7 linked regions of the Canis lupus familiaris genome follow. The protein of the gene in region 2 purifies or fractionates together with the protein of the main gene of each other region. This does not show direct contact. Links are inferred from orthologs where the notes say so. Each region holds a gene or a part of one and is shown on either strand. Other genes may lie near its edges.

Region 1 (3,500 bases), on a different chromosome or scaffold from region 2:
GGATCTGATACCATCATGGGACCTAGATTCCTGCATGTCAACCATCTCCAGTTTACCACTGACCCCACCCCAAGCATTCTTTTTCCTGTTTGGCTTCTTAAGCACGTGAGTTTGTGGCTTCTGCTCTAAAGCCAGAGGGCTGTTTTTTCCAGAATAGCCCTCCATAGTCAACACCCCCGGCTGTGCAAACTAAGAGTCTTATCTTTCGTGGAAGGACCAACACCATGCCCCTCAGCAACTGATGATAAATACTAATCATCTCTAAAAAACGCTATGCCAACTTTGCCCCAAACACACTCCCCCTTTCCTTTTTCTCTCCATTTCCCTAATTATTGCTCTTCCTCCCTCTCCACTCATCATGAGCCTTCTCTACTCTTAACTCACAAAGAGGTTCTTCCTTCTCTCATGTTCTGTGGCATTTAGCATCCGTGTTGCCAGTTATCTTCTATGTATACATCCCAGTTACACTTGAAGGCTCTCATTCATTCATCAAATACAAAGCAGCTACTCTAGCCCAAACATTGTTCTAGGCACTGAGGATATGGTGGTGAACCAGAAAGATAAGGTCCCTCTTATCATGGACCTTACTTTCCAAAGAGGTTTATATGGGCAAAGACATACAAATAAGCAAAACATTTCAGGTACTGATAAATGCTGTCTCAGGGGGTGGGGTGTGTGTGTGTGTGTGTGTGTGTGTGTGTGTGTGTCAGGGTGGGGTGGGAGTGAAGCAGGGTAATGGGATAGGGAGTGAATGAATGAAGCAGAGGCTACTTTAGACAGAGTGGTCAGTGAAAGCTGTCTGACAAAGTATACTAAGCCAAGACTGGAATGAAAAGAGGGAGCCAGCCATGAGAAAACCATGGGAAAAAGTACCCCAGTCAAAGAGAATAGCAAGTCCAAAGCCCCAGTTTTAGGAAGAGAAAGAAATAGCTAGTGTGGCTAAAGCATCAGAAGTGAGGAAGACCGTAGTAGAAGACGAGGCCAAGAATAAAGAAGGGGCTCAGATTCTGTTCTCTGTGATAACGTACAAGAGGGTGATCAATATTTCACACCTTCTAATGTTTTAAGGGCTGGCCCTCAATGAAGATTTGAGTATTGTTACCATTTACTTGTTTGAAAATACCCAGTTACTTCTGATCCCAATCATCTCCTCGTTACTGGATAACTTTCCACTCCTTCAACAAACACTTCTTCACACTATTGACTGGCACAGGGACTGCTCACCCCTTTAATGAAGGTAGGTTTGTCCTTCATGCCAAAGTTCCAGAGCATGATATCTCCCCCTTTGGAACCCACAGCCAGGGTGCTGGGGTGAGTTGGATGCCATGCCAAGGATGTGGCCCTCCTGTCAAAAGGGGCAGCCTTTTGGAATATCCGGTAAGAAGCCAGAGAATGCAAAAAGGACTGCTGGAGACCCTGACATGGAGAAAAAAAGAATTAAGTTGAATTAAAACCCAAGTCCTGGGTACACTGCCAATCTCTGCCTCCTCCACAGATGAGCTCTAGGGCCAAGTCCTCCCACCAGAGGAAAACTAACTGCCTGGCTCTGCGCATGAAAATATTTGCAACGTGCACAAACTAATCTTGGAAAGCAAGGGGGCAGAGTGCATTCCAGATGAGACCTTTACAGCATAAGACTTCTACCTGGCTGAATGCCCAGTAGGTCAGTCACCAAGGTAGAGGTGATCTGACCACTCTGACAACCCACTGAACCAACCCAGCCTCTAATTTTAGAACATCCCAGTAGTGTTCCAGGCAAACCCTTGAGCACTTCAGCCTGGAAACGCCTCACCTGCTGCAGTGACGGCCAGGCAGCTTTGCCCAGCTTATGGTGGTGGAGCGCCCTGACGATGCTGCTGCATGATGGCGGGACCTGCAGGCTAGCCAACCCCGCCCAAAGGCAGCCTGAGTCAAATCTTCTGCTAGAACCTGCCAAGCAGAACAGACACATATTTTCCTCTCCATTCTCACGCACGGAAGAGTTTCCTGCTGAAATCTCAGAAAGAAAGCCTTGTTTTTTCATTCGGCACAGCCAATCTCTCCCATCACCTAAGGCCTTTCTGTGGTCTGCTCAGTCTCATCCGGCACAAGAAATAAATAAGGAGTAGGGATTCAGCCCCTTGCCCCAAACACTCCCCAAAATAGTAATTCTGAAGCGAAACTAAATAAAAAACGATATGAAACCAAACCCTTGCAGGGTTGCTGCGCATTGAGCTAAAGAAACACACAAGAATAAAGTTTATGAAGAACTCTTCCCAGTGGGTCGGAAAACTCATACTAGGGTTGAGTGACAATTTTAAAATCCCATATAAGGCACAATGAAAGGATTTTAGGATAGCACAGAAGCGACCGGGGGGGGGGGGGGGGGGGGGGGGGGGGGGGAAGAAGTAACATTAAATCCTATACTAAAATAATGTAGAGGTGACCCATTATTGGCCCCAAGTCCAATCAGTTTTGGAAACCAGCAGATCCAGAGGGTCTGGCATGGCTTGAAGTTAACTAAGCTACTGTTGGGGAGGTAAATTCACTTAGAATAGTAATAAAGATGTATTTGAGGACCTAGTCTCTAGGAATCTGGCCTCTTGACAACCAACTCCTTCTTCTTATGGACAAAACCCACTTCACCAACAACCCCCCGCTGGTCTTCGGTGTTGCCTCACACTCCTTTAGCCCCAGGTTCAAGCCCCAATAAACCTCAGAGAATGAGTTTCCTAAGGAAATTGCGGGTTCTTACAGCGGAAACCAAGGACACACAGCTAGCAACCATGACTATCGAAATTCAGCACACACACCACTAGGCAAAGTAGGATTATTTTAAGCAGTTCTCAGTGTATAGAAATCCTGGTACAAACAAGGAATTTGAAGGTCCGTTGTGTCTTATGTAATGGAGCTCATCTGCCTCTTCCCGGCACCTGAGGGGGGTTAAGCCCAAGCTCTATGATGTGAAAGGACCTGCAGAAAAATGTACAGCTCGAGGCATCCGAAGTTTGGGAGAGCCTCGGGAAACCAGCAGCACCCATCCCCCACTCCAGCCTCCTGCGTGAGAACCCCAAAAGGCGGAATTATTAAAGCAGCAGGCGCAGGCAGTACCGGGGCCCTTCACACAGAGCTTCTTGGCCTCGGGCTCCAGCTCCCGGGGGCTTCTGCTCCTCTTGCTCTTGGGGCGCACAGCCACCTCGGGGGTCTTCTGGGTTTCTGGGCGTTTCCTGGGAGCCATCGCGTCCTCCGTGCGAAAGGGTACTATGCCCTATGCCGAGACCGTGGAGGGAAGATTGTGAAGCCTCTGGGGAGAAACAAGGCGGGGACCGGGGAACTACGCCAACTTCCCGCCAAACAGCCTCACCGCTTTCAATCTGGCTTCTCGCTCCCGCCCCGCCCCTCCTGCGAAGACTGGGGCACGCGAGGGGAGGAGCTCAGGGGCTCCCTGGAGAGACGGGATGGCGCCGACGTGTTGGGCCAGCTAGTGCCAGTCAGCTGATCTGCCAGAAATAAAGATGGCC
Region 2 (4,056 bases):
ACACTTGCCAAGGCTACTCAGCCATTCTCCTGGGGGTAATGGTGGTGCTGTGTATGGGGTTTATATAAGTCCATGGGCAACAACCACTTGTCTTCTCCTTTAGAGTTCTCTTTTGCATTTTGAACTTCAAACTATAAATATCAGCTATTTTTATTTAGTAGCTGAGGGATTTTTCTTCTTACCAAAAAAAAAAAAAAAAAAAAACCACTTAAATAGTAGAATACTTAAAAACCAAGTGACTGGGGATCTCTGGGCTCAGCGGTTTAGCGCCTGCCTTTGGCCCAGGGCGTGATCCTGGAGTCCCGGGATCGAGTCCTGCGTCAGGCTCCCTGCATGGAGCCTGTTTCTCCTTCTGCCTGTGTCTCTGCTTCTCTCTCTCTCTCTCTCTCTCTCTCTGTGTCTCATGAATAAAATTAATAAAATCTTAAAAAAAAAAGTGACTGTAGCTAGGAACTTTGGTAATTTCGTTTCTCGGCCTTCTATACTATTAAATTTTTATCAAATATAAAGAAATATATTATCATCACATAACAGCACTGCAAAATAAGAATAAAAAAATCTGTGATCTGATTAGGCATCATCTTTCAGAGATAACACAAGTTGAATGGGGAAATACCACCATTTTATTATAAATCTCACTGCTAAATGTGAAATCTTCTACACAATTTGCCTCCTTTTTACTTGCTACTCTAAATACATTTACAATGATATGAAACACAGAAATAAATATTTCAGTCTATTATTTTTCCCCAATTAAGTAATCAATGCAGAGTTGAGACTTAAAATAAAAGCTAGGTCACTATGAAATTATAAGAATTATAATTAATGTAGGTCAAGGGGAGAGTTAACAATAAGTTCAGTGCCACAGGGCGCATCTGACACGAACCCAATCAGACATGTGGCCTAAGAAATTTCCTCTAATCAAAGAAAGCTGGACATTATGAAACTCCCTTCACTTAAGGTCCACATTAGAAAATTCTGAGTAAGAGGGGGCATCTGGGTGGCTCAGTGACTGAGTGTATGCCTTCTGCTCAGGTCATGATCCCGGGGTCCTAGGATCGAGTCCCACATCGGGCTCCATACAGGGAACCTGCTTCTCCCTCTGCCTATGTCTCTCCCTCTCTTCTCTGTGTCTCTCAGGAATAAATAAATAAAATCTCAAAAAAGAGAAAATTCTGAGTAAGAGCAGAAAAAACAGAAGCCTCAAAAACATTTACTAGGCAGTGACCATGAGGCACAGAAGCCACAGGCAGCGAAAGTATCAATTTTATCTCTGCCTGGCAGACTGTTCCTAAAGCAGTGACTTGCACAGCATCCATGCAAAGCTTTCAGATAAATCTCACTTGATGCTAAATAGTCCCTGCTTCATTTTGTGAGAAAACTGGCCCAGGGAAAATTAAGTGGCTCACACATGTAGTGATTGACAAGATTCTAACCCAAATCTAAATTAAATACCCATACTACATCCTAGGAAGTAGAAATCAAACAGTTTGTGGCATAAATGAATGAATGTTTTCTTCATTCATAGAGACTGCAAGTCTGTGCCTTACCTGTGAACCTCGTTTCTTTAATAAGGGTAAGGAGAAGTACTTCATTAAGTATAGCTTCATATCCGATCAGTTAACTCATAACAACAGTGAGGGACATAGCACTCCTCTATTTTTACAAATGGAGATTGAGACTCAAGAGATTAAAGGTGACTTGTCCACGCAGCTCCTAGAACCTTACAGATTAATAGCTGCTAGCAATAATTTTTAACTGCATCTACTGCACTCCAAATATGAGGTAGTGTTTCAAGTGCTTTTACAAAGTTCCTCTCATTCAAGCCCAACACCTCTGAAGCAGGGGCTTATTTTTACCTTAGAGATAAAGAGACAGGGTAGTTAAAGGGACCTTCGCAGCCTGCAGCTGATTACTTGAATTCTGAGTCCAGCATCCTATATGCAGGTTGATGAGATTAATTGAATCAAAGAGCATGAAAATTTAAGTAACAACGGTCATCATTCCGCCCCTGGAAATGGAGCCCTTCGAGCGAGAGCTCCCTCTGCACTCTGCGGGACTAAAATAGGCGCGGAGGCTTCCCGAGGGCGCGCCGGCCGGCATCCGAGGGGCCGGCCAAGGCGAGCCTCCGAGCCAAGGCACCCAGAAAGGATTCATCTCGCGCCTGCTGCCCGCGGCCTAGCCCAGCGGCGGCCAAGCGCCAGGGTGACAGACGAGGCGGTGTACCAATCACCGCAGGCAAGGGAGGCCGAGGAGACCAATGGGCGCTCGGGAAGGCGTCCACCGGAAGTCACTGCCCCCAAAACTGTCAAGCGGAGCGCCCGGGTGGAAGGGGCCCGGGCCGGGGGGAGGAGGGTCCAGCCGGCCCCAGCGAGGGGAGGTGGCCAGGTCGCCAAGCGCACGGGCAGGCAGACGAGAGCAACGGAGACCTAGAGCGCAAGGGGGCTGCCCCAACTCAGCCGCGCCCGATCCCTCCCTGGTCTAAGCGCCGCAACCCCAAGCCCGGCCCCGAAGACGAGGCTCGGGACCAACAGGGAGGTCCCAGCCGTCCGCGCTGGCGGCTGGGGTTGCAAGCCCGTCCCCGCGGCCCGGAAGGCCCGCCCAGGCCCGGCCCGGCGGTCCAGGGCCTCACCTTGAGCCGAGAGCTGTCGGACACTGTTCACGAATTGCTCCAGGGCAGACGCCATATTTCCCCGCGGCGGCCCAAGCAGCAGAGGCAGCTCACGCGGGAAAAGGCGGCTGCTCTGGGAGGAGGGGCCGCGGCTATCCTCCACAGGGCCTCAACAGCGGCCCGACGTCACTTCCGCCGGCTCACGCACCGCGAGATCTCACCTACCTGGGAAGCAGTTACTGTTCCCATGGAAACAGTTCTACTGCTTAGCGCCGCCGGAAGTTCGATTTCTTTTCCTTCTCTCTTTATTCGGTGCACTTATGAAATTCCTCCTGCTATTTAATGGGGCTCCGGGCAAAGGAAGAAACGAAACTTGTAATTAGGCGCATATTTCCCGGATTTTGCTTGGAATGGCAGTCCTGTTTTCCACCTGGCCAGATCCTTCAAGCCTGGCTTAATTGCCGCCTCTTCCATGAGGCTTTTACCTGTCAGGAAGACTGGAGCCAGGCAGGTAGCCTGGATTCAAATCCCTTCCCTACTACTTAAGCGCTGTGTGGCTTTCTTTCTTTCTTTCTTTCTTTCTTCTTTCTTTCTTTCTTTTTTTTAATAAACATTTGGAATTTTATTTAAAAAAAAATCACAACCATGAACATTGTTACAGTTAGAGGCCCTCTTGGTTCTCCACAATGATACTGAGCATGCTCACAAGGGGTTCCCATTGTTTAGTCTTTAAACAACCATCTTTAAAAGAAGGAAAAAAAACTCGGCACACTACCATTTAACTTGTTTTAATGTTTCTTCACAAATGGTGAAAAATACTAAAGTACAGACAAGGAATAATCATAATGTTGTGGCCAACATTATAAATATGGAATTATAAATTTAAAACATTTTCTGGTTTAAAAAATAAATCTGGTAGTCATGGCAGCCCTGCGGGGTCTCTGCGTCTAGTAGGGCGGGTCCCTGCGCCCCTGACGGTGCTCGCCTTTATCCATTTTTCCAGGTCCTCCACGCCCGCCTCTTCTTCCTCCCATCTGTTCCATCAAAGGTTCAGGGGGCCCACCAGGACCGCCTCGTCTTCCTCCGCCAAAGCCACCTCGGTCCATGCCCCGGCCACCACGGAAGCCCCCTCTGTCTCCACCGCGGCCACCTCTGAACATCCCACCGGGACCACCGCGGTCCATGAGGCCACCTCTTCCTCCCCGCAGGCCACCAGGGCCGCCTCTGCCACGGTCACCGCCCGGGGGCGGGAAGGGTGGTGGAAGGAAGCCTTCGGGCTTCGGGGCCTTACACTGGTTGCATTATGTTCTCCAGGTGAAGTTCCGGTTTCCACACCCCGAATTGGGGCACTGCCAGTCCCCAGCTCGGAGCTGGACATTTCCTCCTCCGGATGGGTTCCCTCGGGAACCCCGGGGTCCTCTTGGCGGAAAGCCACCTCTGTCTCC
Region 3 (3,500 bases), on a different chromosome or scaffold from region 2:
TTGGGTTCCCTGCTGAGCAGGGAGCCTGCTTCTCCCTTCTCACTCTGCCTGCTGCTCTCCTTGCTTGTACACATGCTCTCTCTGTGCAAATAAAATCTTTTAAAAAAATAAAACATTAAAAAAAGGAAGAGTACTTTTAATTTACATTTCAGTCAAAATTAAACAAGTACCTGAAATCCAGATGGTACAAAACAATTTTACTCCCTTTATCTTTTTATCCTTTTTTGAACTTGAAATTCTCAAAATAAACTCTCTGAGAATAATCCAAAGGGAGCATTTATAAAATTAGGGTGAAAAACAACAAAAGAGCTAGAAACAAATACTTTTGAATTTACTTCAGCAAAAATAGTAAAGTACTGTAAAAAATATAGAGAGTAAACAGTTATAACACTGTTTTTAGGCTAAAGAAATACAACTGAACAATAGCAGGTGGTAACTCTGAATTAGATAAAATGAAAAACACAAAAATGCAAGCTATGAGCTCTTGAAACAAAGGAAATTTAACAGAATCAATTTATCAGGAAAATATTTTTGAACCCCAAAAGTCTATAAAAATATTCAAGGTAAAGTAAATAGGGTTCATTAACAATCACAGCCAATATGCTATAAATATAAAATGTATCCAAATAATCACCATATACATACATACACACACACATATGAAAAAATTTATTTGGTGACAGTTTTTTTCCCTAAAGTAAAACTATTTATTTGTCTCTTACATACACTACACTATAGAGGCACTTGAAGTGCTGTGGTGTATTATTGAAGCAACACAGTAGTGAATGTGCACTGGACTTGAAAATTGGCCATCTCAGTTTGAGTCTGGGCACGTTATTTAACATCCCTGAGACTCGATTTCCTCATCAATAGAGGAATAATAACTACTACTCTACTTGACAAAGGGTTTCTATAATACTGAAAAGATATAAAAGATAAACCTGATTTGTAGAGGGCCACCTGCACTATATGAAAAAAAGCTACTGGACTACACAATTTCTTAAGGTCTTTCCAATTCTAATTCCATAATTCTACTTTTATTACTGTACAACTCAGAAGCCTCATATGTAACATACCAACATAGTCAAATAAGGTGGGCTTATCCTTAATAGCTTTGTACTACTTAACACAGTGTTATAATGATTATATTGTGTAACATTATTACTATGTGTTGGGCATGTTCTGAGTGTTTTCCATGCACTGACTCCTTGAGATTTTCACAGCAATAGAACCTGGTGATCGTAATTGACTTATTACAAGTAAAAAAAACCACACTGTGACTTATGCAAGAGCTTTACTACATCATCTTATATTTCTAGAATATAGCATTTCAAAGTGTTTTTGAGGTAGATAGGACAAGTATTCTTTCCCCTATTTTACAAAGGAAGAAACTGAAGTTGAAGGAGGTCTAGTTTCTTGCTCAAGATCACAAGGGTAATAGCCACCAAAACAAGATCCCAAATCTGTCTTCAGATTCCTTACAGTTTTTTTTTTAATTTTTATTTCTTTATAATAGTCACAGAGAGAGAGAGAGAGAGGCAGAGACACAGGCAGAGGGAGAAGCAGGCTCCATGCACCAGGAGCCCGATGTGGGATTTGATCCCGGGTCTCCAGGATCGCACCCTGGGCCAAAGGCAGGCGCCAAACCGCTGCGCCACCCAGGGATCCCTGTCTTCAGATTCCTAATACAGGGTTTAACCATTACCGTAATATCTCTGCAACTAAAATGAATAGATAAAAATTACAAATTCTGATAAATCAAACCACTTAATTTCTTACAAGGTACTTATCAATATGAAAAGAACAAGCAGGGCACCTCGGTGGCACAGTTGGTTAAATATCCTGAGTTTTTGGCTCAGGTCATGATCTTGGGGTTCTGAAATCTCAGGACCCAGAGTCAGGCTCCATGCTCAGCGCAGAGACCGCTTGAGATTCTCTCTCCCTCTGCTCCCCCCCACTGCTCATTAGCGCACGCACTTGCTCTCTAAAAAATACACAAGCTATTGGATTCTGAAGTATTTTTCTACATGAAACTGCTTACACTATAATGCAAAGTAACTTCTTGAAGTGGTTGCGTCAAAAATACGGTACGGTAGGGCAGGGGCCCCCGGATGGCTCAGTTGGTTAAGTGACTGCCTTCGGTTCAGGTCAAGATCTCAGGGTCCTGGGATTGAGCTCCCATGTCATGCTCCCACTCAGCGGAGAGTCTACTTCTCTCTCTCCCTGCGCCCCCTCAGCTTGTGCATGTGCACTCTAATAAATAAATAAAATCTTTTAAAAAATACAGTAGAGCAAAATCATGGTAGTAAGAAGTCTAAATCAGTAATTGCCCTTAATGGTATATTTAAACTGAATACTTCAAGTATAAACCCATTTATAAAGCAAAAGAAACAAACCTGAACCTCAGATCAAGTCACTGTACTATAATCTGCTGATTTTTTGGCTAAAGACAATCTTGTAGCCCAGAAAATAAAACAAACATGAAGAACAAGAAGAAGAAATGGCAAGGACGCCTGGGTGGCTCAGCAATTGAGTGTCTGCCTTTGGCTCAGGGCATGATCCCCAACCCAGGAGTCCCACATTGGGCTCCCTGAGAGGAGCCTGTTTCTCCCTCTGCCTCTCTCTGTGTATCTCTCATGAATAAACTATTTTTTTAAAGGAAAAAGAAATGGCAAAAGGCTACTAATATGAATGAGGGAGGATAAAGCATATAGAGAATATCTACATTTCTTGAGGCCTTTCCTATAGGTGAGTAACACCACTTAGGGATAAGTACCATAACAGAATGACTTGTCATCAGAAATCACACCTTTGGGATCCAGGCTGTATGATTCCATTATAGGTAAACCCTTGATAATACCAAGGTATTCCTCACTATAAATCCCAGTCAGAAGGGTCCAAGGTAAACCCAATATATACCAGTATGACTATACTCATAGTTTATGTCAGAATGTTAGAGTATGTCAGAATATGTGGTCTGATTATAAAGCAGAGTACATAAATCAAGACATTTTCATTAGAAGGAAACCAAAAGTCTACATAAGGAGTCATTTCAAAGTAAAATCCATATTTTACATACTACTTCAATTTATGCTTGCCAAATCTGGTTATCCACATTAATACATACCTGGTAGAGTTCTTCTAAATTGTACTTAATTGAAGTACTATTCTGGATAGCTTCCACTGCTTCTTTCAGCTTCTGCCATGTTTCATCTGTGTAGTTCTCTGGTAATTTAGGCTTATCTAGGTGATATGTACAAGGTTGATATCAGAATATGTAGGATATAGTAATGGAAGGCTCCACTAAAGTACAGTAATAGTATTATTGCTTTTCAAGGGTAAATTGTGATTTTTATAATCACAACATCTAATTATTAAAGTAATTACTGCTTTTTAGCCTTAGCATAAAGAATAAAATTTGAAATGCCAGAATACTGTTTAAGTCATTTTGACTCACCTATTAAAATTAAAGGTGAGAGGTTTTTTTTTCAATTGACTGT
Region 4 (3,500 bases), on a different chromosome or scaffold from region 2:
TGAACTTGTAAGATAATAGTGCTGAAAAGGAGGCAAGAGGCCCATGTACCCCTAATGCTGACAATTAAAAAAACAGGAAAAAAGTTTTAATAGAGTGCTAACTAGTTTTTCTAGTGTTGCAGAATGAACTTAATAATAAATAAATGATATTTTGACCCTTTACTTGTGTTGTCTCCTAATGCTCCTTGGGTTCTGATGGTGATAAAAGACTGTTGTTGGGTGTGGCAGGGGGCTCATTCTGGGCCCTGACAGCATCAGTGATGGGTAGCCTGGTGGTCCTACTTCATCATCTAGGTGCTTGATGCATTATTCCATACTTGTTTCTGACATATGATTAAACAGTCATTGCACAAATGCTAACAATTTATGTGATATTTGACTTTTCACCACATTTCCCAAACTTAAATGTTGAAATGAAAGTCCTTAAAATATTCTTTGTGCTAATGTTGGTAGGATACTCCTAATATTAACTTTTTACTTAAACTATTTTGTGTGAATTGATTATTCTAATTCATTATTATTAACCACCTTTCATGAAAATTCAGAGACAAGGAATTTTTTTTAGGTGTTTCCAAATAATTATCTGAATAACGGTTGTTTCTGAAATAGGTTGAGGCATAATGAAAGTTTGAATAGCCATCTGTGTCATAGTAAGTTGGAGAATTGACTATCTTTTTAAAATGTTTAATTATATATATATATATAAATAAAGGAACCACAAAATCTTGATCAGAGTTACTAATTACTACTAACAGGGAGAATGTAGCCTCTGGGGTAGGTTCATGAAGGTTCATACAGCTCCCTTAAGTTAAAATGTAGAGCTCTAAAACTAGATCTGTAGCGGTTTAGTTTATAATCCATTGACAGTTGAATAATGCAGGGGGTGTGTATATGAGAAAGACAAATACAGTCACTAAACTACAGCTTTATGCTTTAGGAAACAGTTTGTTGACTTGCATTAGCTTTTTATTTTATGTGTTACAGAGTGCATACATGTACATGTTTGTCATACTGTTTGTTACAAACTTTTTAGTGTGCTGTCCCTCTGGAATGTCCCAGAACCGTAGTGTGCCTAAACCTGCTGTATCCTTTATAGCTTTCAGGTTGGCATAGAATCTAGAGCTTTTTTGTTCTATCAACTATTTCCACAAAATAATGGATCTTTCTTTTTGTCTCTCCTCCCATTTGTATGACCCTAGAAAGTTACTGGGAAGAATGATGTTTATGAGATAAAGTAGCATTGTTAAATTTTAGCAGAAGCTGTGGGTTAGATGGAGCCACTGGAGAAGCATCTCCTTTACACCTGTGGACCTCCCTGAGTGCTTGAACCAAGATAGAGGCAGCACATAAAGCCATTACTGGTCACCTGCTGTCATTCTCTCCTTTTGTCCATTTCTCCTGCCCTCACCTCCTGTTTCTGCTTTTTTCTTGTCCAGGTCTTAGCTTTCCTATTAACACTTAAAGACATTGTTACACACTGGTAGAGGTCTGATAGTTTAATTGTGATTTATACTGCATACTCAAAACTAATAGCCCTCCCTCCGATCCCCCGAAACAAATAAACTGATTACACTGCTAGTAACAATTTAGTAAGTCCTTGGCTCATTCTTTCAGGAGAAAGTAGCTGAAATAAATAATTATTACTCAAACAACTTTGAAATATTTCTTTGAATGATCAGTTTATTGTCACAATTTTGTTTTAATTGTAGGTGAAGTTAAAATGAACTATTTGGGCAAACCATATGTAGCCATGGTTACTACATACCAAATGGCAGTTCTTCTTGCCTTTAACAACAGTGAAACTGTCAGCTATAAAGAACTTCAAGACAGCACTCAAATGAATGAAAAGGAACTGACAAAAACAATCAAATCATTACTTGATGTGAAAATGATTAACCATGATTCAGAAAAGGTATGGGGTAATATTTCAAGGAATTCTTTTTTTTAAAGATTGATTTATTTATTCATGAGAGACAGAGAGGCAGAGACATAGACAGAGAGAGAAGCAGGCTCCTCACAGGGAGCCTGATGCGGGACCCAATCCCGGATCCTGGGATAATACCCTGAGCTGAAGGCAAACGCTCCATCCCTATTTCGAGGAATTTAAGCATTATAAACATTATAGCTTGAGACGTTTGCAGTTTTTAAAGTAAGATTATAATCAGTAATACCCTTTGTACTTTGGAAAGCACTGGAGTCAGCTAGCAATACTGCTGGCTACTTAGAGCTGTGAGCTTGTGGAATCACAGAGAAGTTGGTGCCTCTGTGCCCTTTATAATTGGCTGGATTCTGGTTAATTGAGGCTAAAAACAATAGCATATCCTAAATCTTCCTGATTTTTTTCACATGTGTTTAATTGATATTTAATTATTTAATTACATGGTTCTAATAGAAAATGACTATTGATATTATTTATATGTATATTTAGCTTGTGTGACAATTCTGAATGCTCTCACTCTTCTGTCCCTTCAGTCCAGGACTCAACTAATAACCACCATATATTTGTAGTACAAATATATTGTCACAAGAATAGCAAGCCAGGAATATACTACTTTTCTTAATAGCTTTTTTTCCCTAGTAACACGTTTTTGTTACTGTTATAGTATATATATATATATATCCTGGATATTTAAATGATTCAAAAGCAACAGATGTGAGTTAAATCTCCTAATTCGAATTGTGCCTGTAAGAAAAAATTCTTATAAATCAGACATCATTTTTATTTTGGTGAAGTTAATAGCCTACTATTTCTGTCATCAGTTCACTTAATTAATGATATATATTTTTAAAGATTTATTTATTTGGGGGGTGGCAGGAGAGGCAGAGGGAGAAGAGAATCCTAAGCAGATTCCCTGCTGAATGTGGAGCCCAACACAGGTCTCAATCTCATAACCCTGAGATCATGACCTGAGCTGAAACCAAGAGTCAGACGCTTAACCAACTATACCCTCCAAGCGCCCCTGCTGGATGATATTTTGTAGCCTATAATTAAATAGTTTTAAATGGCATATATTTTGAAATTCAAATCAAGCTTTTCTTAATACTGAGAAATTAATTTTTGATTTCAGAATCTTAACAAAATATTAAATTCTTAATATTAAGATTTTAATTGAGTCAATCATTAAGCATGAATTTTTAAGCTTATAACCTAAAAAGTTTAAGTTTATAAGCTAAATTAAGTACTTAAGACATTATGTATTTTCTAAAATGTATTATTTTTGCTGCCCGGGAATGTACAAAATATAGATGATTGCTTGTTTGCACATAAATTTTAACTATGAATCTGCTGTTCCTTAGCAGAACTTCTTAGCTTATTATTGAGAATGAATTCATTTGCTAAGTGCTTTTTGATCTTGCTAATGGAGAAAACACCATGTGTGATCAGAGTGGCTTTCATAAGCTTGATAGTTGTGATTATAAAAATTGACTTAACAACTTTCACTTGAAAAGAGGCCACGTGCTTCTGGCAGACAGTAAAACATGAATTCGAGGGTAAACTT
Region 5 (4,135 bases), on a different chromosome or scaffold from region 2:
ACAAAGCAGAGGAAATCTTGATTACACTTTCGTGGGAAGCCCTAGCTTCCTACCCTCTACTTAAAAAAATTTTTTTAGTCTTCCATGTCAATTCAGGTCTTGACCCTGACCCTGTGTACCCCAGGAGGGTTTCCCAGGAATTTCTTTGAAGTCCTTCCAGAAACTGCCCTTCTCCCACCACTACTCCAGAGCTCTAACCCTCTGGTTACCTAAGTAATCAGCATATGTCCCATAGGCGAACACAGTGAGTAGCCGGAATGTGGAAGCGAAATCACTCTCAGCTAGCTGCAAAAATACAAAGGAAGAGGTGACAGGACAGGCGTCTCTCCAGTTCCCTAGCCTCATTCTGTTTTCAATTCCACTTTCTGGCCCCATCTCTCCCTTCTCCCATCAGCTCTCCCAGCCCCCAACCCCCCCCGGACTTCTCTGCCTCTCTGATGGCTCTCCCTATACGAAGGCCTCATTGCCACCTCCAGGCCCTTGTCTACACTACTCCCCCCAATCCACCATGCCCTCTTTCTCCGTACGTCTTCATTCTTACCCCAAATTCAGAACTGAGCACATTCAGAGTGTTTGGTAGTGAGCGCACATGCATGTACACACACACACACGCACTCAGACATTGTAAACTGCATTTTGGTCCTTAGAGCATGTTTAATATTTCTGAATCTGAGTAGGCAGTCTGCCGTACCTCCCAATTCACCAAACACTCCTGCGTTACCCTCATGCATCTCTGAGAGCTGCATGGCCTCTACGTCAGACCTGCAGCACCCAGGAGGCTTTCATCATCCAGGCCAGCCCACTCAGATCTCCTCTCCAATCACTGATCACTCATTCTGGCACTTAATCGATCAAACCCTTAGGCTGTTACCGAAGAATATCTTTCTTTCCAATATGATAACAGCTCCAGGCCCTGGTATCCCACCCAGTTAGGTCTGCAGAGCTATTCAGGTCTGCAGAGCTATTTGGCTCTCAGAAAATACTTGCTAAATGAGTAATTTACATGGCCATATCCATTCATCTTATCTCTGCAACTGGAATATAAGTTTTAGGAGGATAATAAGCACTGTGTCTTACACTTTTCTGGTATTCCCAGATGACCCGCAGAGATAAACAAGCACTCAACAAATGCTTGTTTTTTTCACCTTAACGGACCCTCTTTAGTTCCACTGTAGAAGAAAGCGTAGGGAAAGAAGGCAGCCAGAGTTTTCTCCATATACCAGTGACTCCTGAAGGCTAAATCCATTGACTCCATCAATTACTGGCTCTCAAAAAGCTAACACAGTTTGCCTGCATATCAATGCCATAGCACCTCAGGACTTGAGCTGATGTCACACATCTTGGTGATCCAGCACCCCCTAGACTTTAAACTCTTAACTCTATGTGAACAGTTCTCTCTGCTGTGTCCCTAGCATCTTGCCACATGTCTCGGGGAGAAAGCCACCTTCTAACACTTCTAGGCACTTATCTAACTTAAGTGAATGAACAAAGGGTACAAAGTGAGGAGAGGAGGGGCTGCCAATTTCATGTTCATTCCTCCCAATTGTACCAGATTCTACACTTCCCATAATCTGACCTGATTCCTATAATTGACACTGAGGGGCAGTATCAGTTTCAATTTTAAACGGAGGTCTTAAAGTAAAAGTGACCTGATCAAGGCAACATGATCTTACTAAGAGGTACTACATTGGAGGAGACAGGATGGAATTAGGTCTCCTTTTCTGAATCACTCTTTGGCTTAAAAATGAAAAACAGTGGGTTTTACAGATGATTCATCAGCAAAGGAAAGTGAGAGGTTTACTTGCCTACTTATTTTGCCAGCTGCTAATTAATCATCACCATATTCCTGTTCAACCGAATGGTTATGCGGTTGCAAATGAGCCCTGCCCACCCATTCTCAAATTCAGACTTAGTCCCAAGCTTCCATGTGTGCCTTCTAGGCCAGGAACCCACCTCTCTAACATTAGGCATATCCAGCAGTTCCCCAAACACGTAGACACCAGGAGCCTCCAGCACCTGGTGGATGAGTGTGGCCAGCGCTGCCCCCTTGGCCGACTTGGCCAAGAGCAGAAATTGCTCCTGGTTCTGCCCTGTCACCTTCACCTCGGCACTCATGGCTGCACTGAGCTGGGAGGGCCTGGGCTCAGGATATCTGGAGCTGCAAGGAGAGAGAATGTGAAGCTGGAAGTCCCTGAACCCTGGGAGGGCGGGAAGCACAGGGGCCAGGGGCTGGACTGCAGAGGCACTGAGTCACATCTACAAATGAAGAACGAGAGATGGGGCTGTCTAAAACTCGGTTCTAGAAATCCGAAAACCGGCCACTTTGACGGACGCCTGGCTGAGACAGAGTTGCCAGGCCCCCTCCCCCATCCCTGGGCCTGATCCCAAGGCCCACCACGTGCACCCCACTGAACCCCAAGGCATAGGATGCGGTGGGGGAAGGGGTGTCACATGGCGTCCACCCTAACAACAACGCTCCCTCAAATTTCCACGGTGCCGCACAAGTACCCCCAACCACGTGACCTCACCCTCACGATCCTTCCACGTGGCTCCGCCCCCTCCCTTAAAGAGGCCGCCCAGGGACCGCGGGCTCACGCCGACTGCCCCGTCGTACCCTGGGTCAGACTCTGCGGGCCGCTACCTGGAAGCTTCGTCTTCCAGCACACCGGGCGGGGCAGCCACTCCGTCACCTCCGGCAGCTGTTCCAAGCCTTTCCTGCCACCTCCCCGCAGAGTCGCTCTGGCCACTACACTCTATGGCGGGCTTCCGGCTCGTACTTCCGCTCTGGCGAGGCCAGGCCCCTCCCCCGCCTTCCGACGGCTGAAGCTCCGGCGAGCGCCAGTCATTCTACTCTCTGATTGGCTGTTGAGGAAGAAGGACGGCGTCTTTTTTTTTTCCTGCTTTGTTTCAATAAAACTTTATTGTCCGACGAGCGCTAGATGGTAAATGCGAAGGGAGCCCCTTGTCTGCAGCAGGTACCGGGTGGTTAAGTGTCTGTTCAAAGCTGCTTGAAACCTGGAGATCGGGCTGCACAGGGCGCTGGAGGCGGCAGGAAAGCTGTAATGAGAAAGAGCGGCCTGGAGAAGGAAAAAAGGGAGGGAGGGAAATGAGAGACAGGAAGAAGACAAGAATAGTAGAAGTTTCGCAGCAGGGATCCCCTGGCTATTTTATTTTTTTTTTTATTTTTATTTTTTTTAAAAATTTTTTATTTATTTATGATAGTCACACAGAGAGAAAGAGGGAGGCAGAGACACAGGCAGAGGGAGAAGCAAGCTCCATGCACCGGGAGCCCGACGTGGGATTCGATCCTGGGTCTCCAGGATCGCGCCCTGGGCCAAAGGCAGGCGCTAAACCGCTGCGCCACCCAGGGATCCCCCTCCCTGGCTATTTTAACCACTCCTTTTTTTTTGAGGAGCAAGAGGAAAGTAGTGGGAAAAGTACAGGAAGTAATAATAGGTAACACTGACATTGTAGTAACATTGCTTACTATTGGTGAGGCATCTTTTAAAATTGCATCCCGTTGAATCCTCGTAACTATACTGCATCCCCAGTGTGACTCCGGGAGTACTTGTAGAGTGAGGCTTTCGTGCGCATCGAGTCTTTTCATTCCTGCGAGACGAAAAACCCCTAGGTGTAAGGAAGGTATCTGTTATTACTTTAACTTTATAGATAAGGAAATTGATGCTCATAAAAATTTAGAGATTTCGGGATGCCTGGGTGGCTCAGTGGTTGAGCGTCTGCCTTTGGCTCAGGGCGTGATCCTAGAGTCCCGGAATTGAGTCCCACATCCGGCTCCCTGCATGGAGCCTGCTTCTCCCTCTGCCTGTGTCTCTGCCTCTATCTCTGTGTCTCTATGAATAAATAAAATCTTAAAAAAAAAGTTAGAGATTTCAAATTGAACACCTATAAAAAAAAATAAAGTTAGAGATTTGCCTGGAACTCATGTCTCTTCAAGCTGGAAACTATCTTTCCACGTTACCATGATACTTTAGGAAAAATAATAAATAACTAACAGTTCTGTAGTATTTTACATCATACGGGCTTGCAGAAGGTCAAATAAGAATAAAGTTAATGACGTTTTGGAGGACTTTGTGTTAGATGCTGAATGAAGAGGTTTAGTTAATTCATTTGATGC
Region 6 (3,500 bases), on a different chromosome or scaffold from region 2:
GATAGCTCATCATGGTTTTGTCACCTGTTTTGTAAATAAAGTTTTATTGGCACATGGCCTCCCCCACCGTTTACAAATCCTCGTGGCTGCTTTCACGATGGCAGTGGCAGGGTGAGTGGTGGAGACGGAGTCACGTGCCCCAGGTGTAGGCAACCTGAGGAGCTACGGGACGACAAACTCATGAGACTGTTCCCCAAACTGCTGTCATCAGGGAGATGGGAGTGGCACACAGGACTGACCACACCAGACAGCGTCAAGGATTAAGGGGCATCCACAGATGGAACCAACCAGAATACAATGCTGCCCATCAGTAAGCCGTGACGGCGGGAGGGAGGAGGGCACAGGGCAGAGGGCGGCCGCCCCAGACGCACAGGCAGGCCTCCCGCGTGGGCACGGCGGATGGGGCCAGCTCCCCTCTCTCCTTTATTTTTTCCTTCCTTCCTTCCTTCCTCTCCCTCTGCGAGCCTACGTCATCTTTATAATCATGAGAGAAAAAAACTCTGCGTTTCAAAAGATGTTTTACCTGCGTGGGGCAGACTGTCAGTCCCCACGCCCTTTACACTCGGCATTTCTGGAAGCTGGAGCCCGCGCCCCGCGGAGTGGGGACAGCCCCTGGGGACAGCCAGGCCCCCGCCCGCTGCTCTTCCACTAACCCCGGGAGGGAATGCTGCTGAGGCTCAAGAAGGAAAACCTGGAGGTGGAGGTGACCTCACTTCTTCCAAAGCCCCTGCTGACGACAGGGTGAGAACGGGGACTCGCCTGCGCTCCCAACGCTCTTGGAGGGACCAGACACAGGAGGCCCCACGGGGTGTGAGTCCACGGGTGTGACCCGTCCAGGATGGGGAGGGGCGCCGGGGGGCCGGGGGCTGGGGGGTGACGGGAGGTGGCGGTAGCAGGCGCAGAGAGACGCCAACCCTGGGGACGCAGTGCAGACCAGCGCGGAGCACACCGCCAAAGGGCGAACCGTACGCGTGTGCAGCACACGTCGAGATACACACACGTGACGGTGGGGCGGGGCCTCCAGGGCACCCCCCCACCGCTGCACAGGCGGCTCTGGAGATCCCGCGGGGCCGGGGCTCGGGCCTGTCCCTGGGGGTCTCCTTACCTCCGGCTACTTTCTGACAGCGACAGGCTGCCCCGCCCCACCCCACGGTGAAAGATCTAGAAAGTCTTACTTGAGCAGCGCCAGGAAGGCGGCCGGCTCCACGTCGGGCAGCTCGATCTCCGTGGACGTGGTGGCCATTCCCCCGTTGAACATGGCGTCGAACACGGCACTGCCCACGGCCAGCACGAACCTGGCGTCAGAGAGGAGCCTGGTGACCCTCCGCGCGCCCGCCGGTTCCCGGCCCCGAGTCTGGGGCACCGGGCCCAGCACAGAGCACACACCGGCCGCGAGCACTGCTGGCAGATGCTTCCAGAAGGAAGGTGGCAAGGGGCGGGCGGACACGTGCAATCCCCACCCCACGCCCCCCCCCCCCCCCGTGCCCCCGCAGCGCCCATCCCGCCTTCGCCCAGGGGGCAGACCCGGTCAAGGGCACGGCCTGGGGGGGGTCAGGGAAGGCTTGGCAGGGCCCCGGGCGGGCGGGGGCCCAGGGAAGGGCAGGAGCCCAGGGCAGCGTTACGAGGTGGTGGCCGCGAGGTGACCACGTGGGCCCCACCGGCCATGTCCTCTCCACTCGAGGACGGGTGCCCCGTGGGTGAGGACAAGCCGTGAGGCACCCCGCTGGACCCCTGCCTGGGGCTGGGGGGTCGGGGGCCTCCTGACCCAGCCCAGGCTGGCGCTGCCCCCCCACCTCGGACGCCCACGAGGGCCGGACCCAGGTCCACGGGCCCCGCATCACACCCGCCCGGGGTCCCCACCCCGACACACGCAGGGCTCGGAGCAGCCTGCCCGAGGTTCCCGCGACCCCGGCTGGAGGCCTCCGCCCTGCCCCAGCCCCCACCATCTCCTCCCCCCGGGCGCATCTCCCAGCCCCGAGGGGGCCGCAGGGCGCGCAGGGCTTGACCGGGCCAAGGACCAGACCCGAGACCAGACCCGAGACGGCCCGATGGGAACCGAGGACACCGGGGCGAACGGCCTCCCCCAAAGTCACGTCCACCGGAAAGCCGCAGGAGGGCCTCACCTGGAAACAGTCTCTGTCCGTGTGACTGGTTCCCGTCCTACGGGGGCCGACCCCATGCCCGCGTCCTCGTAAGAGGGGCCTCGGGACACAGGCGCAGACACCAGGGGATGAGCCCACCGCCCGGGGACACGCAGATCCCAGGAGTGAGGCCAGCAAGGGCCCCCCCGGAGCCCGGGAGGCAGTGTCACCTGCGACCCGGGGCCTCCTTGCTCTCCACCCTGGCCTCCTCCTCCCTCCTACCCCCCCCACCCGGCACTCACTGGGGCGGCCCAGCCCCTCTGCCCTCCCACAGGCCATCCATCCCACCATCCATCCTAAATAGGTGCCTTCCTGTTCCTTTCTTTCCAGATTTATTTTTTTTTTTATTTTATTTTTTTTTCTTTCCAGATTTAAGCAAGCACCTTGATCGCCTGCAGGAGAGGCCGCTGCCCGCACCTGGGGGGGTGCACCCCCCGCCTGACGCTGTCCCAGGGCCCTGGACAGGCCACCGCACGGGCCGCAGGTCGGCCCCATACCACTACCCCCCCCGCCCCCCGGCCCTCTGCTCACCCCTGCCTCAGCCCCCAGGGTCACGGTCCCTCCTCCCAGATGCAGGTGCCCCGGGGAGACGCCAGCTCAGCCTGCCAACGGCGGCCCAGAAGACACCCAGAGACCATGACAAGGTGACACAGATGCAGAGACAGCAGGACCCTGGTGTGGCCGCGGCTCCTCTGATGGCCACACACCAGCCCCGCGTGACTCAGAGGTTTCACACCCAGGGCACGTCTGTGTTCGGAGCTGGTGTCCCCGTGGCCAAAAGAGGCAGCACCGGGTGTCCATCCATGGGAGCAGAGCGGTCCGTCCACACCCGGGATGTGACCCAGCCCCGGGGAGGAAGGGACCCCGAAACCTGCCCCACGTGGACGGACCCCGAGGACACCGGGCTCAGGGAGGGGACCCAGACCAGAAGGACGCCTCCCGCAGGACCCCACTCCCAGAAGGCCCCCAGAGGAGGCCCGTCCACAGAGACAGGAGGTGGCGGGAGCCAGGGGCGGGGGCTCCATGTGGGGAGATGGAAGGTTCTGCGCGGTGGGGTGAGTGCGCTCCGTGCCCCGGGCTGTGCGCTCAGAGACGGTTACGGCGGTGAATCTCATGTCACGAATATTTCACCCGGATTTAAAAACTTGAAATAAGAGCAGAGCAATGACGAGCCACCTGAACGAGGCGGGGAGAGGGAGCCCCGAGGGGCGGCGGCCGGGCCGGTCTGTGTGCCTGGGGGCCAGGGAAGCCCCGCGCCCTCGACCACAGCAACGCGCCGGGGAGGCCGAGGCCCGGTGCAGGACCGCAGGGCAGGACCGCGCTGTAGGACGCGGCGCCAAGGCCGAGCGCTCCCCGCGG
Region 7 (3,054 bases), on a different chromosome or scaffold from region 2:
AGTGGCCCTCTGTTTCTGCTAGCAATATTCCCCAATCCCTTCCTTTAGAGAGAACGGGGCCTCTGCCACCGGGGAAGCTTCTCCCTTGGAGAACGGTCTCGAATGATGTCTCAGTGAGTATGGGGCTTGGTGGAGAGACTCTAAGAGCCAGATAGGTTTTATCCCTTAAACTTTGAAGAGGCAGGTGTTAGAGGATGCTCAGGGATATTAAAGTTAGGTTGAATGGGATCAAAGCTTGAGGGTAAACAAACTGGAAGAGTATAGAAATTAAGAGGATGATTGAATGAATGAAAGAAAAGGGATCGTACCCCAAGGCAAAAGGGAAGTCCACCCTTGTACTCACACTCACTGTTAGGATTCTGCTAACCAGGACGTTCCTCTTCCTCAGCTCCCTTTACCTTCACTTTGCCTCTGCTTTCCAGCTTCTTGCCCAATGATCTGGGCTTCACTGACACCTACTCTCAGAAGGCTTTCTGTGGCATCTACAGCAAAGATGGTCAGATCTTCATGTCTGCTTGCCAAGGTACCACCAGACCCTGGTCCTGCAAACTGCCCTGGAACAAGGAGCATACCCTCTGACTGAGGCTAGAAGGACCCAGGCCCAAGGAACTCCCTGGGTTAGGGATGCTTGGCCAGAACATGTTTCCCATGATCAAGGGAAGATTCCACAGATGTACAGAGGAAGAGAGGTCAGATCTAGAGAGGATGCCAGGAGGGGGTTCCCTAATTCTGCCTGATTCCTACTTCCCCAGACCAGACGATCCGACTGTATGACTGCCGGTATGGCCGCTTTCATAAATTCAAGAGCATCAAGGCCCGGGATGTAGGCTGGAGCGTCCTAGATGTGGCCTTCACCCCTGATGGGAATCACTTCCTATACTCAAGCTGGTCTGATTACAGTGAGTATGCCCCAGACTTCCACTGGCTCTCCAGCTCTGGACCTCTCCAAATGTCCATGTCCTCTGTGCCAGGACTCCATGCCTCCTCCCGGGAAAATCACTCCCAGGGTCTCACATCCTTGCCCTTTGCTCCGTCTCCTGCCTAACTTCACTTCCACCCAAGTTCCCCCAGCCCTGAAAGATTCTTGTTTCTCTTGCCTCTCTTAGTTCATATCTGCAACATCTACGGGGAGGGAGACACACACACTGCCCTGGATCTAAGGTACTGGCTTCCCTCCTTGGGCAAACTCTTCAGAAACTTCTCAAGGAAGGCTCTCCAGGAGCAAACCTCTTGAACTGGAACTCCTGCTTTGAGGGAAGAGTACACTGGTTGCAAGTGTCTCTGTGTGGATTCCTGGGAGGGAAGCACCTATCCTTGTCAGCCAGAGGACCAGGGTAAAATAGATGGTTGTAGGATTATTTAGGGTTCTCATGGAGGTAATTCACATTCTGGGACGTATTGGCAGGACTTTTTTTTCCCCTTAGAAGTACACCTTGCAACCCTCATTAGATTCTTTTTTTTTTTTTTTTAATTTTTTTTTTAATTTTTATTTATTTATGATAGTCACAGAGAGAGAGAGAGAGAGAGGCAGAGACACAGGCAGAGGGAGAAGCAGGCTCCATGCACCGGGAGCCTGATGTGGGATTCGATCCCGGGTCTCCAGGATCGCGCCCTGGGCCAAAGGCAGGCGCTAAACCACCGCGCCACCCAGGGATCCCCCCTCATTAGATTCTGTGTAGACTAACAGAGGCTGAAGGAGGCCCACTTCACCCAGCTCCTTCTCTGCTTCTTTTTAGGCCAGATGAGCGTCGCTTTGCTGTCTTTTCCATTGCTGTCTCCTCCGATGGACGGGAAGTGCTAGGAGGGTGAGTATCGGTAGGGGATGCAGCCCTTGATCAGGGAGAGGGGAGTACTCCCAGAGGCCAGCTCTGCTGTCTCAGAGACTACTGGACACAGCTATCCAGGCAGCTGTGGAGAGCAGCCAGCCTGTTTTTCTCCAAGGTCAGCGTTTCAGAGCTACTTCACCTCTTGCTCACCATTTCCCCAGCATGAAATGAAAGGTCTCAAACCTCCTTGCAAACATAGCTAACTTTTCTCCCACCTCCTGCGTATAGAGACTGGGGCTTTCCCTTCAGCAGGACTCTGCAAGAGAGACTCTCCAGAGCATACATAACAATGATTCTCTTGGTTCTGGCCCCAGGACCCTCTTCATCCCTTCCCTTTCAGGGCAAATGACGGCTGCCTATATGTCTTTGATCGAGAACAGAACCGGCGCACCCTTCAGGTATTGCTCTCGAGACTTAGAGCCTCTGCCTCCCAGTCCTTGGCCCTATTAGAAGACCTAGCAAGAGGCCCTAGGTATTCTGGCTTCCTTCATCCCCTAGATTGAGTCCCACGAGGATGATGTGAATGCAGTGGCCTTTGCTGACATAAGCTCTCAGATCCTGTTTTCTGGGGGTGACGATGCCATCTGCAAAGTGTGGGATCGACGCACCATGCGGGAGGACGACCCCAAACCTGTGGGCGCACTGGCTGGGCACCAGGATGGCATCACCTTCATTGACAGTAAGGTGGGCAGTGAAGCAGACCTGCACATCCAGGTTACAGTTGTCCGGGAGCATGTCACAGTGGCCTGGTGTAGGGACTCACCGAGCTCCTTATTAGTTAAGGTTTGCAAGAGCTGGAGTTTAGGGAAGGGCTTAAGCCAAGAAACACGAGATCCTTCTGTATTCACCAGCCCTGAGCAGGGCAGGGCTTTTTGTAGAAGGAAAGAAGACCATTAATCCAGGATAGAATGGGAGGCCCAGCCAGTGCCTGGGGCAAAGAAGGGAAAACCAAGCCAGGGGGTGGGTTCTGTGGTAGAAAACCAGCAGTGAGCTGGCCTGGATGAAGCAAGAGGCAAGCTAAGTCAAAGGACTGGCATTCTTACCCTTTACCTGGAGAAGAGCTAGACAGACACAACCACCAGTATTCGCAAGCTCTGATGCCTTGTTATCCATCTGGGGATTCCCAGGGTGATGCCCGCTATCTCATCTCCAACTCCAAAGACCAGACCATCAAGCTCTGGGATATCCGACGCTTTTCTAGTCGGGAAGGAATGGAGGCCTCACGGCA

The links.
Region 1: the proteins of COPS3 (region 2) and DDB2 purify together in Homo sapiens (affinity purification with mass spectrometry; 7 studies listed by BioGRID and IntAct, with this or other methods). This does not show direct contact. The link is inferred for Canis lupus familiaris from reciprocal best matches to the Homo sapiens genes COPS3 and DDB2.
Region 3: the proteins of COPS3 (region 2) and CUL4B purify together in Homo sapiens (affinity purification with mass spectrometry; 11 studies listed by BioGRID and IntAct, counting the BioPlex papers as one, with this or other methods). This does not show direct contact. The link is inferred for Canis lupus familiaris from reciprocal best matches to the Homo sapiens genes COPS3 and CUL4B.
Region 4: the proteins of COPS3 (region 2) and CUL2 purify together in Homo sapiens (affinity purification with mass spectrometry; 5 studies listed by BioGRID and IntAct, counting the BioPlex papers as one, with this or other methods). This does not show direct contact. The link is inferred for Canis lupus familiaris from reciprocal best matches to the Homo sapiens genes COPS3 and CUL2.
Region 5: the proteins of COPS3 (region 2) and COPS7A purify together in Homo sapiens (affinity purification with mass spectrometry; 14 studies listed by BioGRID and IntAct, counting the BioPlex papers as one, with this or other methods). This does not show direct contact. The link is inferred for Canis lupus familiaris from reciprocal best matches to the Homo sapiens genes COPS3 and COPS7A.
Region 6: the proteins of COPS3 (region 2) and BTBD2 purify together in Homo sapiens (affinity purification with mass spectrometry; 3 studies listed by BioGRID and IntAct, counting the BioPlex papers as one, with this or other methods). This does not show direct contact. The link is inferred for Canis lupus familiaris from reciprocal best matches to the Homo sapiens genes COPS3 and BTBD2.
Region 7: the proteins of COPS3 (region 2) and DCAF11 purify together in Homo sapiens (affinity purification with mass spectrometry; 3 studies listed by BioGRID and IntAct, counting the BioPlex papers as one, with this or other methods). This does not show direct contact. The link is inferred for Canis lupus familiaris from reciprocal best matches to the Homo sapiens genes COPS3 and DCAF11.

Annotation. Positions count from the first base shown.
Region 1 is NC_049239.1:42,800,111-42,803,610, forward strand, and holds part of DDB2 (DNA damage-binding protein 2), read right to left. Parts: exon of another isoform or gene 3,218-3,500; coding exon of another isoform or gene 3,091-3,217; intron 1,930-3,090; coding exon 1,793-1,929; intron 1,417-1,792; coding exon 1,225-1,416; intron 1-1,224.
Region 2 is NC_049226.1:42,356,945-42,361,000, reverse strand, and holds the start of COPS3 (COP9 signalosome complex subunit 3), read right to left. Parts: upstream 2,801-4,056; 5' UTR 2,688-2,800; coding exon 2,633-2,687; intron 1-2,632. UniProt on the Homo sapiens protein: Component of the COP9 signalosome complex (CSN), a complex involved in various cellular and developmental processes.
Region 3 is NC_049260.1:93,253,525-93,257,024, forward strand, and holds part of CUL4B (cullin-4B), read right to left. Parts: intron 3,244-3,500; coding exon 3,128-3,243; intron 1-3,127.
Region 4 is NC_049223.1:2,207,314-2,210,813, forward strand, and holds part of CUL2 (cullin-2), read left to right. Parts: intron 1-1,709; coding exon 1,710-1,912; intron 1,913-3,500.
Region 5 is NC_049248.1:7,780,770-7,784,904, reverse strand, and holds the start of COPS7A (COP9 signalosome complex subunit 7a), read right to left. Parts: upstream 2,801-4,135; 5' UTR 2,642-2,800; exon of another isoform or gene 2,529-2,641; intron 2,159-2,528; 5' UTR 2,116-2,158; coding exon 1,954-2,115; intron 286-1,953; coding exon 210-285; intron 1-209.
Region 6 is NC_049241.1:57,467,772-57,471,271, reverse strand, and holds part of BTBD2 (BTB/POZ domain-containing protein 2), read right to left. Parts: exon of another isoform or gene 2,712-3,500; intron 2,626-2,711; exon of another isoform or gene 2,511-2,625; intron 1,426-2,510; exon of another isoform or gene 1,296-1,425; coding exon 1,176-1,295; exon of another isoform or gene 1,126-1,175; intron 811-1,125; exon of another isoform or gene 1-810.
Region 7 is NC_049229.1:4,243,837-4,246,890, forward strand, and holds part of DCAF11 (DDB1- and CUL4-associated factor 11), read left to right. Parts: intron 1-48; coding exon 49-113; intron 114-422; coding exon 423-523; intron 524-752; coding exon 753-899; intron 900-1,106; coding exon 1,107-1,161; intron 1,162-1,736; coding exon 1,737-1,805; intron 1,806-2,166; coding exon 2,167-2,224; intron 2,225-2,324; coding exon 2,325-2,510; intron 2,511-2,953; coding exon 2,954-3,054. UniProt on the Homo sapiens protein: May function as a substrate receptor for CUL4-DDB1 E3 ubiquitin-protein ligase complex.